3 linked regions of the Sus scrofa genome follow. The protein of the gene in region 1 binds, or shares a complex with, the protein of each later gene. Links are inferred from orthologs where the notes say so. Each region holds a gene or a part of one and is shown on either strand. Other genes may lie near its edges.

Region 1 (3,985 bases):
GGAAAGCCTGTTCTCTAGTCCACACTGTCTAGCCTGCTTTTAAAGGACTTATCAGGAACCTCCAAGCTAGAAAAGTGTGTCTAAAGTGACAGCTTGCTTCTGCCCTGACCTGGACTACCTTCTGTAGGTTAGGAATCTGCTCTGGGAATCTTTGTAGTATATAGGCTTCTCAGATCTAAGAGCTAGAAAAAAGTACCATCAAGGGTTTAGGAAAGTACTTTTTTCCTTTGCTTATTGGAAGCTCTAGTGTCCATGTTGATCCTCTGCTATGTTCTTCCCCAAAGCCAAATACTCCTCTTTACAGACTTGAGGTTTCATGGACATCCTCATCACCCTTAGGTGATTGCATATTCAGAACATCGTTACCGCATCTTTGGGGAAACCATCGATATTGCTGTGGGTAATTGTCTGGATCGTTTTGCTCGAGTCCTGAAGGTGAGCCATTGGAGTTACCGAGAACATAAGATGTGAATGAATTTCTGGGGAGCCAGGGAAGAGGAGGGAGAAAGTAGTAAACTAGCTTCTTACGATTCCTAGATATCTTACTTCCTCCTGTTTTTCCTTGTGCTAGATTTCCAATGACCCAAGTCCAGGCTACAACATTGAACAAATGGCAAAGCGGTAAGGGGAATAAGGTAGAAGGAGGCTGACTGGCGGGGTGTCAGGGATTTCCCTGTTATGTGTATTAACAAGGTTTGGGAGGGCTTTGGAGGGCAAGCAGCCAGCTGACTATAGGCTTAGTGCCTCATATACTCACTCCCACTTAGAGGCAAGAAGCTAGTTGAGCTGCCATACACTGTAAAGGGCATGGACGTCTCATTCTCGGGGATCTTGTCTTTCATTGAGGTGAGTGTGGGAGAGGTGAGGAGATGGTCACTGTGATGCTTTTTAACGAAACATATGTGTTTTGCTCACCATTGTATTTTCTGCATATAGCATAGTACTGACGCATGTTAGATCCTGAATAAATTCAGGTAGCAAATATTTATTGAACATATTCTGTGTGCCAGGCACTGTTTGAGGCAGTGGTGGTACAAGATAAAGCAAAAATCCCTGCTTACTTGGAGCTTGCATTCTTGTGGTGGGGAGATAAACAAAAACAAAAATGAATGAAAGAAAGGGGGAATATAATAGTATAAAAAGGGTCAAGTGGTGACAGGTGCTGTGGAGAGAAAATAACCAAGGTTGGTGGGGGAGTTGCCAGAGCAGACATTCATAATTATTGACTCTAGAAAGAATGTTGCTGGTTTTATAGCTCAGTGCCAGTGAAGGGCAAGGTGTCTTATGGGATGTACTAATAAGTTGAGTTGTGGTGGAACACAGTGATCCTCCAAGTGCACTGTTTTTTTTTGTTGTTGTTGTTGTTGTTGTTGTTTTTAGCATTTTAGGGCCACACCTGTGGCATATGGAAGTTCCCAGGCTAGGGGTCAAATCAGAGCTATAGCTCCTGGCCTGTGCCACAGCCACAGCAACTTGGGATCCAAGCTGTGTCTGCAACCTGCACCATAGCTTACAGCAACAGTGGATCCCCACCCCCCTGAGTGAGGCCAGGGATCGAAGCCAAATCCTCATGGATACTAGTTGGCTTCATTTCCACTGCACCATGATGTACACTAATATGCACTCCCCAAGTGCACTAATTTTTTGCTCCCATGTCATCCCCAAACCAATGTTCATTGTTTTATCTGTTTTCCCCTTTAACTATAGGATGTAGCCCAGCGGATGCTGGCCACAGGCGAGTGTACTCCTGAGGATCTATGCTTCTCCTTGCAGGTAATGGAGTAAAACACTGGGACAGAAAATTGGAGCTGGAGAAGCTCTTTTGTAGTAGACAGAACTAAGCCGAGATCACCTCTGATGTTTCCACCTTGTCTGCCCCCCCCCAGGAAACTGTGTTTGCAATGCTGGTAGAGATCACAGAGCGGGCCATGGCACATTGCGGTTCCCAGGAGGCCCTCATCGTAGGAGGAGTGGGTTGTATGTATCCTTGAACTGTGCTCTTTCCTATTGTGGGGCACGTACATCTTCTTCCTGATATTCTAAATCCTTAAAAGTTTAGAGAAATTACTAGTTCTGTCTCTTCTATGCTTCCCAGCCTTTCCTCCTAGAACCCCTACTTCATTTTCCTAAGTCAGTGCACATGAAGTGTATGGCTAAACTGGAGAAATGGCTGAAACTAGCTAACCCTACCCCTGCCTCTTTGTAGGTAATATTAGGTTACAGGAAATGATGGAAACAATGTGCCAGGAACGCGGAGCCCGGCTTTTTGCCACAGATGAGAGGTAAAGGCTCTTTCCCTTTCTTTCTTTTTTTTCTCCAGTTACTGTGATTTTCCACCCTTAGATCATGAATATCATACCTTTTTTTTCTGTCCCAGATTCTGCATTGACAATGGAGCCATGATAGCCCAGGCTGGCTGGGAGATGTTTCAGGCTGGACATAGGACCCCCCTCAGTGAATCTGGGGTCACACAGAGGTGAGTGGCCCCTTTCAGGAGGTAGACAGGATTGTATGAGAAGCAGGCCAGAGTCATTATTAGCAGGGAAGAGGATTCAGAATCATGAGGTCAGAGAAGAGTATAAGGTGCTAAGGGATAACTGTCCACCAAGTTTTTCCCATTTTTTCACAGGTATCGGACAGATGAAGTAGAAGTGACCTGGAGGGACTGACAAGGTGAACAGGATCAAGTAGATAGCGCCCTAAGTGGAGCCCCAGGGACCCTGGGCCTTAACCTCATCCTGACATAAGACCCTAGCAAGACTGTGGACGCCCCTCTCCCATCATTTGAACCTCAAGATGACTCTATAATAAAAATATTTTTGGTTTTATGTGTTAGTGATCGGCTTGTGTTAAGGAACATAGTTGGCACTGGATAAATTCTTGTTAATGGGGTGGTGAGTAAGGAGGCAGGGATTAGAGAAGCATCCTGGCTGACCGTGCAGGTAGCCTTGGGAGCTGCAGCTCTGGAACCCATGCACTTCCATCATCAGGTTTGAGGGGGTCCCAGGTACACATTCCTCCATGTCACAACCACCAGAACTAATCTCTTCATGCCTTTTCTCTTGTTTTTATGTCAGTCACCAAAGAAGTCGCAAACCACCAAGTCACCTTTCATCTTTTAAACACTAATAACCATTGCTTTCCATTCTCTTTTTTTGTCTCCACCTACCTCTGTCTTAACTCCTGAAATTCTGTTTTAATTTTTTTTTTTTTTTTTTTGGTCTTTTGTCCTTTTAGGGCCACACCCTTGGCATATGGAGATTCCCAGGCTAGGGTTCTAATTGGAGCTCTTGCTGTGGGCCTGTGCCAGAGCCATAGCAATGCCAGATCCAAGCCGTGCCTGCAGCCTACGCCATAGCTCCTGGCAACACCGGATCCTTTAACTCACTGAGCGAGGCCGGGGATGGAACCTGCAACCTCATGGTTCCTAGTTGGATTTGTTTCTACTGCGCCAAGATGGGAACTCCAGTAACTGTCATAAGTCTTGATGATTTGAATATCTAGGTAGATGACCTTTGTAACACTGGTCTCAGTTCCTTATTCCTTCAGTGATCTTGTCCTCCATCCCTATATCAACCCTCATTCCCTTGGTCATGTCTAGACTTGTAGCTTCTCCATATCTCAGTCATCCCACTCTCCTATAATTACTTCCTATTTTTCTAGTTTATTCTATGTGTCTTAATTTCCTTCCTCTAATTCCTGTCACAAGCACTTCACTGCAAACACTTCATCCCCTAGCCTATCTCACTTTTTGTCACAATCGGCTCTTCACCCACTTTATGCCCTGACCCATTAAGCTGAAAGGGCTGGGATAAAACAGCCAGTCCAGGCTGACTTGTCTTACTTTCAGTTCACTACCATGAAAAATAAGTGGGTCCTTATTTATTTATTTATTTGTCTTTTTGCCATTTCAAGGGCTGCTCCCATGGCATATGGACGTTCCCAGGCTAGGGATCTAATCCAAGCTGTAGCCACCAGCCTATGC
Region 2 (4,684 bases), about 36 Mb from region 1:
CTCTCCTCACCCTCCAACGTTCCACTCCACACGCCCCCCGCCAAGGAACCTTCCTCCTACCAATTCTCACCTCTTATTAGTTTTCTTCTACCCACCTTTCTCCATTTTTGTACCTAGAATATAGGATGAGTCACCCAACACTACATCACACCCCCTCAAAGCCTTGTTCACAACATCTTCCAAGTGCTCGCTCTCCTCCCCTACCCCCACCCCTTCGCCAGAGCCACCAGCTGTTCGGGTTCCGGTCTATCCTCCTGGGTAGCAGACTGCACAGAGACATGGTACTTGCTTCCTCTCGCCAAAAAACCAGATAGCACTTGTCAAACTAAATTGCAGAGGACCAGCTGTCCAAGTGCCCAGCCCACATGGGGAGATTTTCAGATCCAGAGATCTCTCCTTTATCTCTGCTTTGACTCCCACCTGGTTCCTAATAAATACTAAGGATGGGAAAATTAGGGACAAAGATGTCTGGATTTGAGAGGACACGAGGATGGTTTCGTGAAAAACACCCGGGGCACCGAGAAGAGACGGGAGAGGAAGGAAAGGCTGCTCCAGGGTCAAAGCCTAGAGATCCTGGGGGGTCGGAGGAAAACCGAGGGACGAAGGGGGCCCTGCCGGACACAAGCAGAGGAAGGGGGCTCACGAGACTAAGGGTAAAAGGGCGGCTGAGCCTGGGATGAGGAAGCCTATGACAAACAGTGACCCCGGACTACCACGGAGGTGCCGGCCTCGGCAGGCGGGAAGAGGGAAGGTAAGTCCGGGAAGAGAAGGTCCAGGGGAGCCGGGGGAGGTAAGGCCCGGCCGCGCGCCCACCTGCGAGTAGGAGCACTTCTCGGAGTCGCTGCCGCCTAGTACGGCGCACGCCTCATTCTCCAGCTCCTCGTCCTCCTCAAGTACATCGACCAACGATACCACGGGCTCCAGCTCCGACTGCCGCCCCGCGGTCCCCTCGGCTCCAGCCATCCTCAACTGTCACCCGGACCGCCGCTCAGCCCCGGCGGAGGCGGGAAAAGCGGGCGCGAGGGGCGGGGCCGTAGGAGGCGGGGCCTGGGTGCCTGGAACCAATCCCAAAGACGCCGAGAGAAGGAAGGGGGAGGAGCGACTTCCGACAAACGGAAGTCACTCCTCTTCCTTCTCCCGCCTGCGCCCGCGCTTGGCTGGTTTCCGCTTCCGGGTGGCGTATCCCTGTGGCGCGTTCTTGAAGCTCAGCGGTCGCCATGGAGCTGTTGGGCGAGTATGTCGGGCAGGACGGGCAGCGGCAGCGGCTACGAGTGCCCTGTGAGGCGCCAGGCAATGCCGACCATTTCCAGGGCTTGCTGTCGGGCGTGGCTCGGATGAAGGAGCTGGTGGCCGAGCTCTTCGGTTCCCCGGTACAGGGGGAAGCTCAGGACCGGGTGGCGGCGGCTCCAGAAGAGGCCTTGGACGGTGAGCTCTGGGATGGTGCTGGAGCGACTGGAGGGAGGGCAGGGGCGCCCCGGGAAAAATCTCAGGGAGCCCGTGTAAAACAGCAGACTGGAGAAAACTGGAGGAAGAAGGATTCCTACTAAAAATTGTTAGCACCTTCCGCCAACTCTAGGCCTAACCTGGGCTCACCTAGCAGGGCTGTTTTCACGACTCTTTTCATTTATATCACACACACACACACACACATACACGCACACACAAAACCAAAGAAAAGCGGGCCGAACCCCTGCTGCTCTGTGCCAATCATTGGACTGAGCTCTGAAGAAAGAATGAGGGTGAATGCGGCTTAGTTCCTGTCGTTGCGGAATTTTGATGAGTGATTAAACAAGTAAACGCTCTCATTAAAGAGTGGAAAGATGACCCTAGGATCCTCCTATAACTATTCGAACCTAGAGAACCCAGGAAGACCTAATAGTGGGCATGTCTGGCTTTTAAGCTGGGTGTTGAAGGATGAAAAGGAATTCTCCCAGCTGTGAAATTACGTTTGGAAGACTGCGGTCCATCGCAGAATAGGAGCGGGTTCCTAAGATTGGAAGAGATTTCAGATAAACAGGTGTTTACTCTCAGGGACTCCTTTCCTTTCCCGGTTTTGTAGGTGCAGTTTGAAAGTGGAAACGGGAAATTTAACTGGTTTAGTTTTTGGGGGGTTTTTTGTTTTAAGTCTTGTCTTGAATAGGTAGATACATTTTGACTGCCTTAAGCTTAAGAACCTAAGCATTAAATATTGGAATCAGGACTTAACTCCTCTGTACAGGCTCTTAAACTAATAATGTGAAGGAACCAATTCAGAATATTACACAAACTTCAGACAATGGATTGTTTCCGTGAGAGTGAAGTCCTGTTTCTTGACTCCAAAAGTTCCTCTTTAATCAGTTGCAAATTTTATCGTTGGAATAAGGACAGGTATAGGTAGAGCCATTGAAAAAAAAAAAGTGGGAGTTCTCATCATGGCTCAGTGGAAAGGAATCTGACTGATATTCATGAGGACGCAGGTTACATCCCTGGCCTCCTCAGTGGGTTAAGGATCCGGAGTTGCTCTGAGCTATGGTGTAGGTTGCAGACATGACTCAGATCTGGCATTGCTGTATTGCTGTGGTGTAGGCCAGTGGCTATAGTTCCAATTCAACACCTAGCCCAGGAACCTCCATATGCCTCAGGTGCGGCCCTAAAAAGACCAAAAAAAAAAAAAAAAAAAAAAAAAAAATGGAGTTTATCTTTATTTTGGATGAATTCTTTCTTTCTTTTTTTTTTTTTTACGGCCACATCTGCAGCATAGGGAGGTTCCCAGACTAGGGCTCAGAATGGAGCTACAGTTGCCAGCCTACGCTACAGCAACTCCGGATCGGAGCCATATCTGCAACCCACACCACAGCTCACAGCAACACTGGCTTCCCAACCCACTGAGTGAGGCCAGGGATCAAACCCACATTCTCATGGATATTAGTCGGATTCTTTTCTGCTGCACTGCACTGGGAACCCCCAGTGTATGAATAATATCTTAATTAGCAATGCAAAATTTTCAGAAATAACAATTATGAAAGAAAAGTGGTAGAATGCAACACTAAAAAGGCAAATAGTGATCATTTTGTAACGTCTAGAAATATCGGGGCACTGTGTGGTACACTTGGAACTAACAGTGTACTTCAATGGAAAAAAAAATCCTCATGTTGACGAAAAAAGACAGTCAGTTACCAAATGTGCAGAAGACTTGAATAGACAGTTCTCCAAATAAGATATACAAATGGCAAATAAGCACATGAAAAGACGCTCAACGTCATTGGCTTTCAAGGAAAGGCAAATCAAATCACAATGAGATTCCATGTCATGTCCACTAGGAAGGCTGTAATCAGAAAGAACACTAACAGATGTTAGCTAGGATATGAAGAAATTAGAGCCCTCATGTGTTGCTGGTGGAAATGCAAAATAGTGTACCTTCTTTGGAAAGCCGTTTGAAGTTAAAGTTATCATATGATCCAGCAATTCTAGGGATTCTTAATTCCATCCCTAGTTCTCCAAGAGAACTGGAAACATGTTCCCATAAAAAACAAATGCACAAATGTTCATAAGCAGCATTATTCATAATAACTAAAAAGTGGAAATAAGACAAATTACAGCAGATATTGTCAGAACATTGTAAATCAACTATACTTTGATGAAAAATTTTAAAAAACACACAAATGTCCATCTACTCGAGTGGAGAAACAATATGTATATCCATACAATGGAATATTATTTAGCAACAAAAAGGAGTGAAGTACTGATAAATGTTACACTTCATGAATGACCTTTGAAAACATGGTAAGTGAAAGCAGACAGACACAAAAAGGCATGTATTTTGCGATTCATTTACATTAAATGTTAAGAATAGGCAAATCTGGAGTTCCCGTCGTGGCGCAGTGGTTAACGAATCCGACTAGGAACCATGAGGTTGCGGGTTCGATCCCTGCCCTTGATCAGTGGGTTAACGATCCGGCGTTGCCGTGAGCTGTGGTGTAGGTTGCAGACGCGGCTCGGATCCCGCGTTGCTGTGGCTCTGGCGTAGGCCGGCGGCTACAGCTCCGATTCAACCCCTAGCCTGGGAACCTCCATATGCCGCGGGAGCGGCCCAAGAAATAGCAACAACAAAAACAACAACAACAAAAAAGACAAAAGACAAAAAAAAAAAAAAAAAAAAAAAAAAAAAAAAAAAAAAAAAAAAAAAAAAAAGAATAGGCAAATCTAAGAGATGGGAGATGATTACAGTAGGTTAGTGGCTGCCAAAGGCTAAGGGGAATGGGAAATGACTGCTAATTGGTGTAAGATTTCTTTGGGGTTGATGAAAAGTGTTCTAGAATTAGTGGTGAGGGTTGGACAGCCTAGTGAATATCGAAATCAGTAAACTACACTTTTTTTGGGGGGGGGGGGCCACCTGTGGCATATGAAAGTTCCCAGGCTGGGGATAGAATCTGAGCTGCAGCTACAACACACACGGCAGCTACGGCAATGCCAGATCTGTAGCCCACTGTACGCGCTTCTGCAGCGACACGAGCTGCTATATTCGGATCCTTAATTCACTGTACCACAGCAGGAACTCCCGCTGTGAATTTTAGGCGTTCCCGTTGTGGCTTAGTGGTAACAAACCCGACTAATATCCATGAGGATGGGGGTTCGATCTCCAGCCTCCCTCAGTGGGTTTAAGGATTTGGCGTTGCCTCAAGCTGTGGCGTAGGCCGCAGACATG
Region 3 (4,877 bases), on another chromosome or scaffold:
CTTGATGTCAGCACTTGCTTGTTTTAACAGTAGTAGGAACACTAAAACTTCTTCATCAGCAAAATTACAGTGTTGTTTTTTTAATGGCTCCAGGTGGAATGTTTTTAACTCAATAACTTTGATTACTAGCAGTATCTGAAACCACAAACTGTTACATGCAGTGGGTGTGTGAGAGAGCATGTGTTAAGGGCTGTTTTAGGTACCAGGCAGGCTTCTGGTATATGGAAGAGACATGGATGCTATCCTCAAAGAGTTTACAGGCAGAATGAAAGATACGCATGACAACACTCAGGCATCCATGGCTAATCATTCAGATATCATTTAGTGATCTTCCTGACTCTACGTGGTAAGAAGGACAAATTAAAACTATCCTCTTAATTTAGCTAAATTTTTGTTTACACACATGTGAAGCGTCTCCAAAGCTTATTTGCCTAGTAAGAGAGCAGTGCTAAACCCCAACTCTGTCCAGAGCTGTCTTCACTATTGTTTTGGTTTAGTATTAACAGGCTCCAACCCAACACCAAGTAACACACAGGCTATCATGACAAGGTCAACAATTATAAAGTAAATAAATATTAATTACATTATTATTTGGGGAAAGATTGAAAATAATTTCCGTAGATAGAGTTCTTGTCTTCATTTTCCCCAGTTTGTAGAGGTGAACTGCTTTGTTTGCTGCCACAAGTATCTGAAATGGATCGACAATCTACCAAAGAGAACAAAAAATATTATACACAGAGAATCTGGAGTACGCTGAAGACATGTGCCCCATAGCGTGCTATCTCCAGGGTCAGTGTTTTACTTCATCCCAGTTCCTATGGACTACATTTTTAAATTTTTTCATAATCTCAAGGCCTGAGTGTTCAGTAAAAAAAAAAAAAGAAAAAAGAATTTTAAAACTGCAAGCAAGAGTTCCCGTCGTGGCTCAGTGGTTAACAAATCCGACTAGGAACCATGAGGTTGTGGGTTCAATCCCTGGCCTTGCTCAGTGGGTTAAGGATCCGGTGTTGCCATGAGCTGTGGCGTAGGCTGGCGGCTACAGCTCCGATTAGACCCCTAGCCTGGGAAGCTCCACATGCCGCGGGTGCGGCCCTAAAAGGACAAAAGGAAGGAAAAAAAAAAAAAAGTAAAACTGTAAGCAACTTAGATAAATAGTAAAAAGCTGGGTTTTTTTGTTTTTTCATTTTAGGGCCACACCTGAGACATATGGAGGTTCCCAGGCTGGTGGTGGAATCTGAGCTGCAGTTGCCGGCCTACACCCCAGCCACCGCAATGCAGGGCATGAGCGGCATCTACAACTTACGCTGCAGCTTGAGACAACACCGGATCCTTAACCCACTGAGCCACCACAGGAATTCCAATAGTAAAAAGTTTTAAAACGACATTTACCGAGGGGTATTATTATGGGAAAAACCATATGGTCAACATTTTGCCTTCGTTTTCCACAGCTGTCAGTGATATCCATGTTATATTCACATGTAATGGATGAGGAGACCACGGCAAAGAACAGGTCTGAATCCCAGCTGTCCTCAGTTACCACGAGGGAACCGGAGCAAATGCCTTAGCATTTCATCTAGAGGTGCAGACCATCCTAGGACGTCACGGATGGGTTGTCGTGAAGACTGAGTCAGCTGTGTGTGTAAACAACTTGCAACAATGCCAGGAGCCAAATACACCTTTATATAAAGGTCAGCTACCACTTGCTCAAAGCCATAATAAATGGCATATCTGGGATTTGAGTCACAGTGATTCTACAGTGTGTTCCCTTAACCACTATGCAGTGCCTCCTTCCCAGACTTTCTCTTTCAGAGGAGAAGACGATCCCAGACAGCTGCGATCACATCAGGGCTGGACCGCCTTTGACAGCTCCTAGGGCGGGGTGCTCTGGCTTCTAGTCACTGCTAATTCAAGGTCGGCCAAATCTGATTCCACTCCACAGCTTGGACAAGGCCTTTTTACCTGAAGATAACAGGTTTGGGCTGACCTGTAACAGCAAGAAATATTTCATATTCTTAAACTCCCTGCAGAGTGCACTCCTTCCCACAAGTACTTACCACTGTAGGGTTGATTAATGAGCCGTCAATGCCACCTTCCATGGCCTTTTTTCTCAAGGCTCCAGCATTTTTCACATCTTTAAATAACAGAAGGGTCACCCTGTACTCAGGAAACAGGTCCAGTTGCTCTGTTAACTGCATTTCATAGATAAGACAGGATTCTGTTGCACAAGACCAAAAGACCAAAAGTTAACACCGTAGGTCACTAACAAAAAAATATCTTTACTTAACGAGATATTTTTTTGCTTTTTAGGGCTGTGCCTGTGGCATATGGAAGTTGCCCAGCTGGGGGTTGAAATCAGAGCTGCAGCTGCTTGCATATACCCCAGCCACAGCCACAACCACAGCCAGGCCAGATCTGAGCCGTATCTGTGACCTGCACCACGGCTCACGGCAACACCAGATACTTAACCCACTGAGCAAGGCCAGGGATCCAACCCGAGTCCTCATGGATACTAGTCACGTTTGTTACCGCCAAGCCACACTGGGAACTCCCTAACAAAGTAACTTTAATAAGAACATATAAAAGTGTTAAAATAGAAAAATCTATCCCGAAAACACATCTGGCATTCTCACAGTATACTGTCTTCCTAAACCTGCTGTTTCTAGCTTCCTTTACCATTCCTGGCGAAGGATCAAGGTTGCCACCTGATCCCCTGCTTGTGCAGTAAGTCCGGCTCTGATCCGTGGATGAGATGCCGTTTCCCCAATAGACAACTAGGTGCAGATTACCAAAAATGTTTTAGATCACAGGTTACTTTTAGCATTAATGAAACCTCACTCCAACTTCTTAGCCTTTTTAGTTTTCTTATCTCACCATTTGATTTATGTTTTAGCAGCACCTAGACACAAATACGAAAGAAGAAAATAATCTTACAGAGGAAAAGTATGACATGACTCAGAGAACTCATTTCACACATGGGGATTTAAGCAGGGAGGGCACAATGCTTTAATAATACTGGCCCTTTATAGACATAAATTGAACAAGAAAAGGACGGGGTATATACAAAGACATAAGAGAAACATGACAAATAACTACAAAGACATATCCTTGCACAGAAAAACAAAGCATTGCAAAAATTTGATCTTTAAAACAATTTCAATCAGTCCTAATGAGATATTTGGGTGAGGCAATTTGATAGGTTCATTTTATCCTTTTACCTAGGAGGTTCCATTTACAGCATTTTTCTCAAAGAATAAACTGGCAATCTGAAGGTTTATGTAACAAGAGGTCCTTATCATTATCCTAACAGTAAAAGCTGAAAAGAACTAGTAACAGGATTTGTTTTCACTAAACAACCACTAAAAACTGTAGTCTTGAAGAGTACTTAAGGATGTATAAAAACAGCAATAAATAACACTAAAACATTTGATGTGGAAATCAAAACATAAAATTGTGGGTTTTTTAAAAAAGGTACACATACACACACACACAAAATTGAAAGAAAAATACAACGAAAAATTACCTTTGACCTGCTGGAATTTCATCTGACTTTTTTCTTATTGTAACAAAAGAAAAAAAGAACATTTGTGAATAACGTCCTGGCACACAGCAGTTCAGTCATAATCAAGGTCCAATGGAAAAAAAAATACAGAAAGATAAAATGTACACCCAATTATAAAAGAAGATGCACCCAGAAAACAAAAACACGAAGTACACCAAAATATGGCCATCTTGGGCAGTAGAATTGAAGGCAATTTCTAAGGTCTCCTATAAATATTTTTCTATGTGCTGAATTTTCTACAATGAGTACTCAAAATATATAATGAGTACATACAACCAGAGAGAAAAAAAATGTGGTTTTTGTTTTTACATGAGGGGAAAAAGGACCTCTAGCAAACGTCAGAATAGTTTGCTTTTCTTTTACATAATTCATTCAGTCCAGAAACTTCGAGTCACTGCTGGATACTGACCTCTCACTCAAATCCCATATCTAATCCAAAAGTCTTGTCAATTTAAATTTTATTTTTCACCCTGCCCACAGCACGTGGAAGTTCCAGGGGCCAGTAATCAAACCCGGGCCACAGCAGGGACCCAAACCGCTGCAGTGACAACGCCAGATCCTTAACCCACTGCACCACAGGAGAACTCCTTGTCAATTTTTAATATCTTGACGGATACAATTCTCTCCATACCCACTGCCACCACAGTGGGCCACCAACTCACATCCACAGTTTGGCCTCCTAGAAGTGCTCAGCTCACAGTTCCTGCCCTCCTATCATGCAGCCGCCACCTGGGAGTCAAAACCATCTTTTCACAAACAAGAACAAAATAATGCCACTTGCAGCAACATGGATGGAACTAGAGACTCTCATGCTAAGTGAAGTAAGTCAGAAAGAGAAAGACAAATACCCTATCACTTATATCTGGAATCTAATATAGGGCACAAATGAACCTATCTACAGAAAAGAAACAAACTCAGGGACACGGAGAACAGACTTGTGCTTGCCAAGACGGAGGGGGAGGGAGGGAGATGGACTGGGAGTTTGGGGTTAGCAGATGCAAACTACTGCATTTGGAATGGATAAGCAATGGGATTTTGCTGTGTAGCCCATGAAACTATATATGATCACTTGTGATGGAACATGATGGAGAATAATGTGAAAAAAAGAATGTATGTATGCATAACTGGCTCACTTTGTGAGGCAGAAATAGACAGAACACGGTAAATCAACTATAATTTAAAAACTATTATCGGAGTTCCCGTGGAGGCACAGTGATTAACGAATCCAACTAGGAACCATGAGCTTGCGGGTTCGATCCTTGGCCTTGCTCAGTAGGTTAAGGATCCGGCATTGCCGTGAGCTGTGGTGTAGATCACA

The links. The genes of interacting proteins can lie anywhere in the genome.
Region 2: OSGEP (region 1) and GON7 share a complex: the UniProt entries of both Homo sapiens proteins name them as parts of the EKC/KEOPS complex. The link is inferred for Sus scrofa from reciprocal best matches to the Homo sapiens genes OSGEP and GON7.
Region 3: OSGEP (region 1) and TPRKB share a complex: the UniProt entries of both Homo sapiens proteins name them as parts of the EKC/KEOPS complex. The link is inferred for Sus scrofa from reciprocal best matches to the Homo sapiens genes OSGEP and TPRKB.

What each region holds. Positions count from the first base shown.
Region 1 is NC_010449.5:78,459,433-78,463,417, forward strand, and holds the end of OSGEP (probable tRNA N6-adenosine threonylcarbamoyltransferase), read left to right. Parts: intron 1-339; coding exon 340-435; intron 436-571; coding exon 572-621; intron 622-767; coding exon 768-846; intron 847-1,707; coding exon 1,708-1,773; intron 1,774-1,886; coding exon 1,887-1,977; intron 1,978-2,206; coding exon 2,207-2,282; intron 2,283-2,377; coding exon 2,378-2,476; intron 2,477-2,629; coding exon 2,630-2,669; 3' UTR 2,670-2,828; downstream 2,829-3,985. UniProt on the Homo sapiens protein: Component of the EKC/KEOPS complex that is required for the formation of a threonylcarbamoyl group on adenosine at position 37 (t(6)A37) in tRNAs that read codons beginning with adenine.
Region 2 is NC_010449.5:114,587,285-114,591,968, reverse strand, and holds the start of GON7 (uncharacterized protein C14orf142 homolog), read left to right. Parts: upstream 1-1,164; 5' UTR 1,165-1,217; coding exon 1,218-1,425; intron 1,426-4,684. Other genes in the region: putative E3 ubiquitin-protein ligase UBR7, read right to left, coding at 814-963. UniProt on the Homo sapiens protein: Component of the EKC/KEOPS complex that is required for the formation of a threonylcarbamoyl group on adenosine at position 37 (t(6)A37) in tRNAs that read codons beginning with adenine.
Region 3 is NC_010445.4:69,236,987-69,241,863, reverse strand, and holds the start of TPRKB (EKC/KEOPS complex subunit TPRKB), read right to left. Parts: upstream 3,521-4,877; intron 2,897-3,520; exon of another isoform or gene 2,872-2,896; intron 2,772-2,871; exon of another isoform or gene 2,674-2,771; intron 2,216-2,673; coding exon of another isoform or gene 2,196-2,215; coding exon 2,055-2,195; intron 707-2,054; coding exon 584-706; intron 1-583. UniProt on the Homo sapiens protein: Component of the EKC/KEOPS complex that is required for the formation of a threonylcarbamoyl group on adenosine at position 37 (t(6)A37) in tRNAs that read codons beginning with adenine.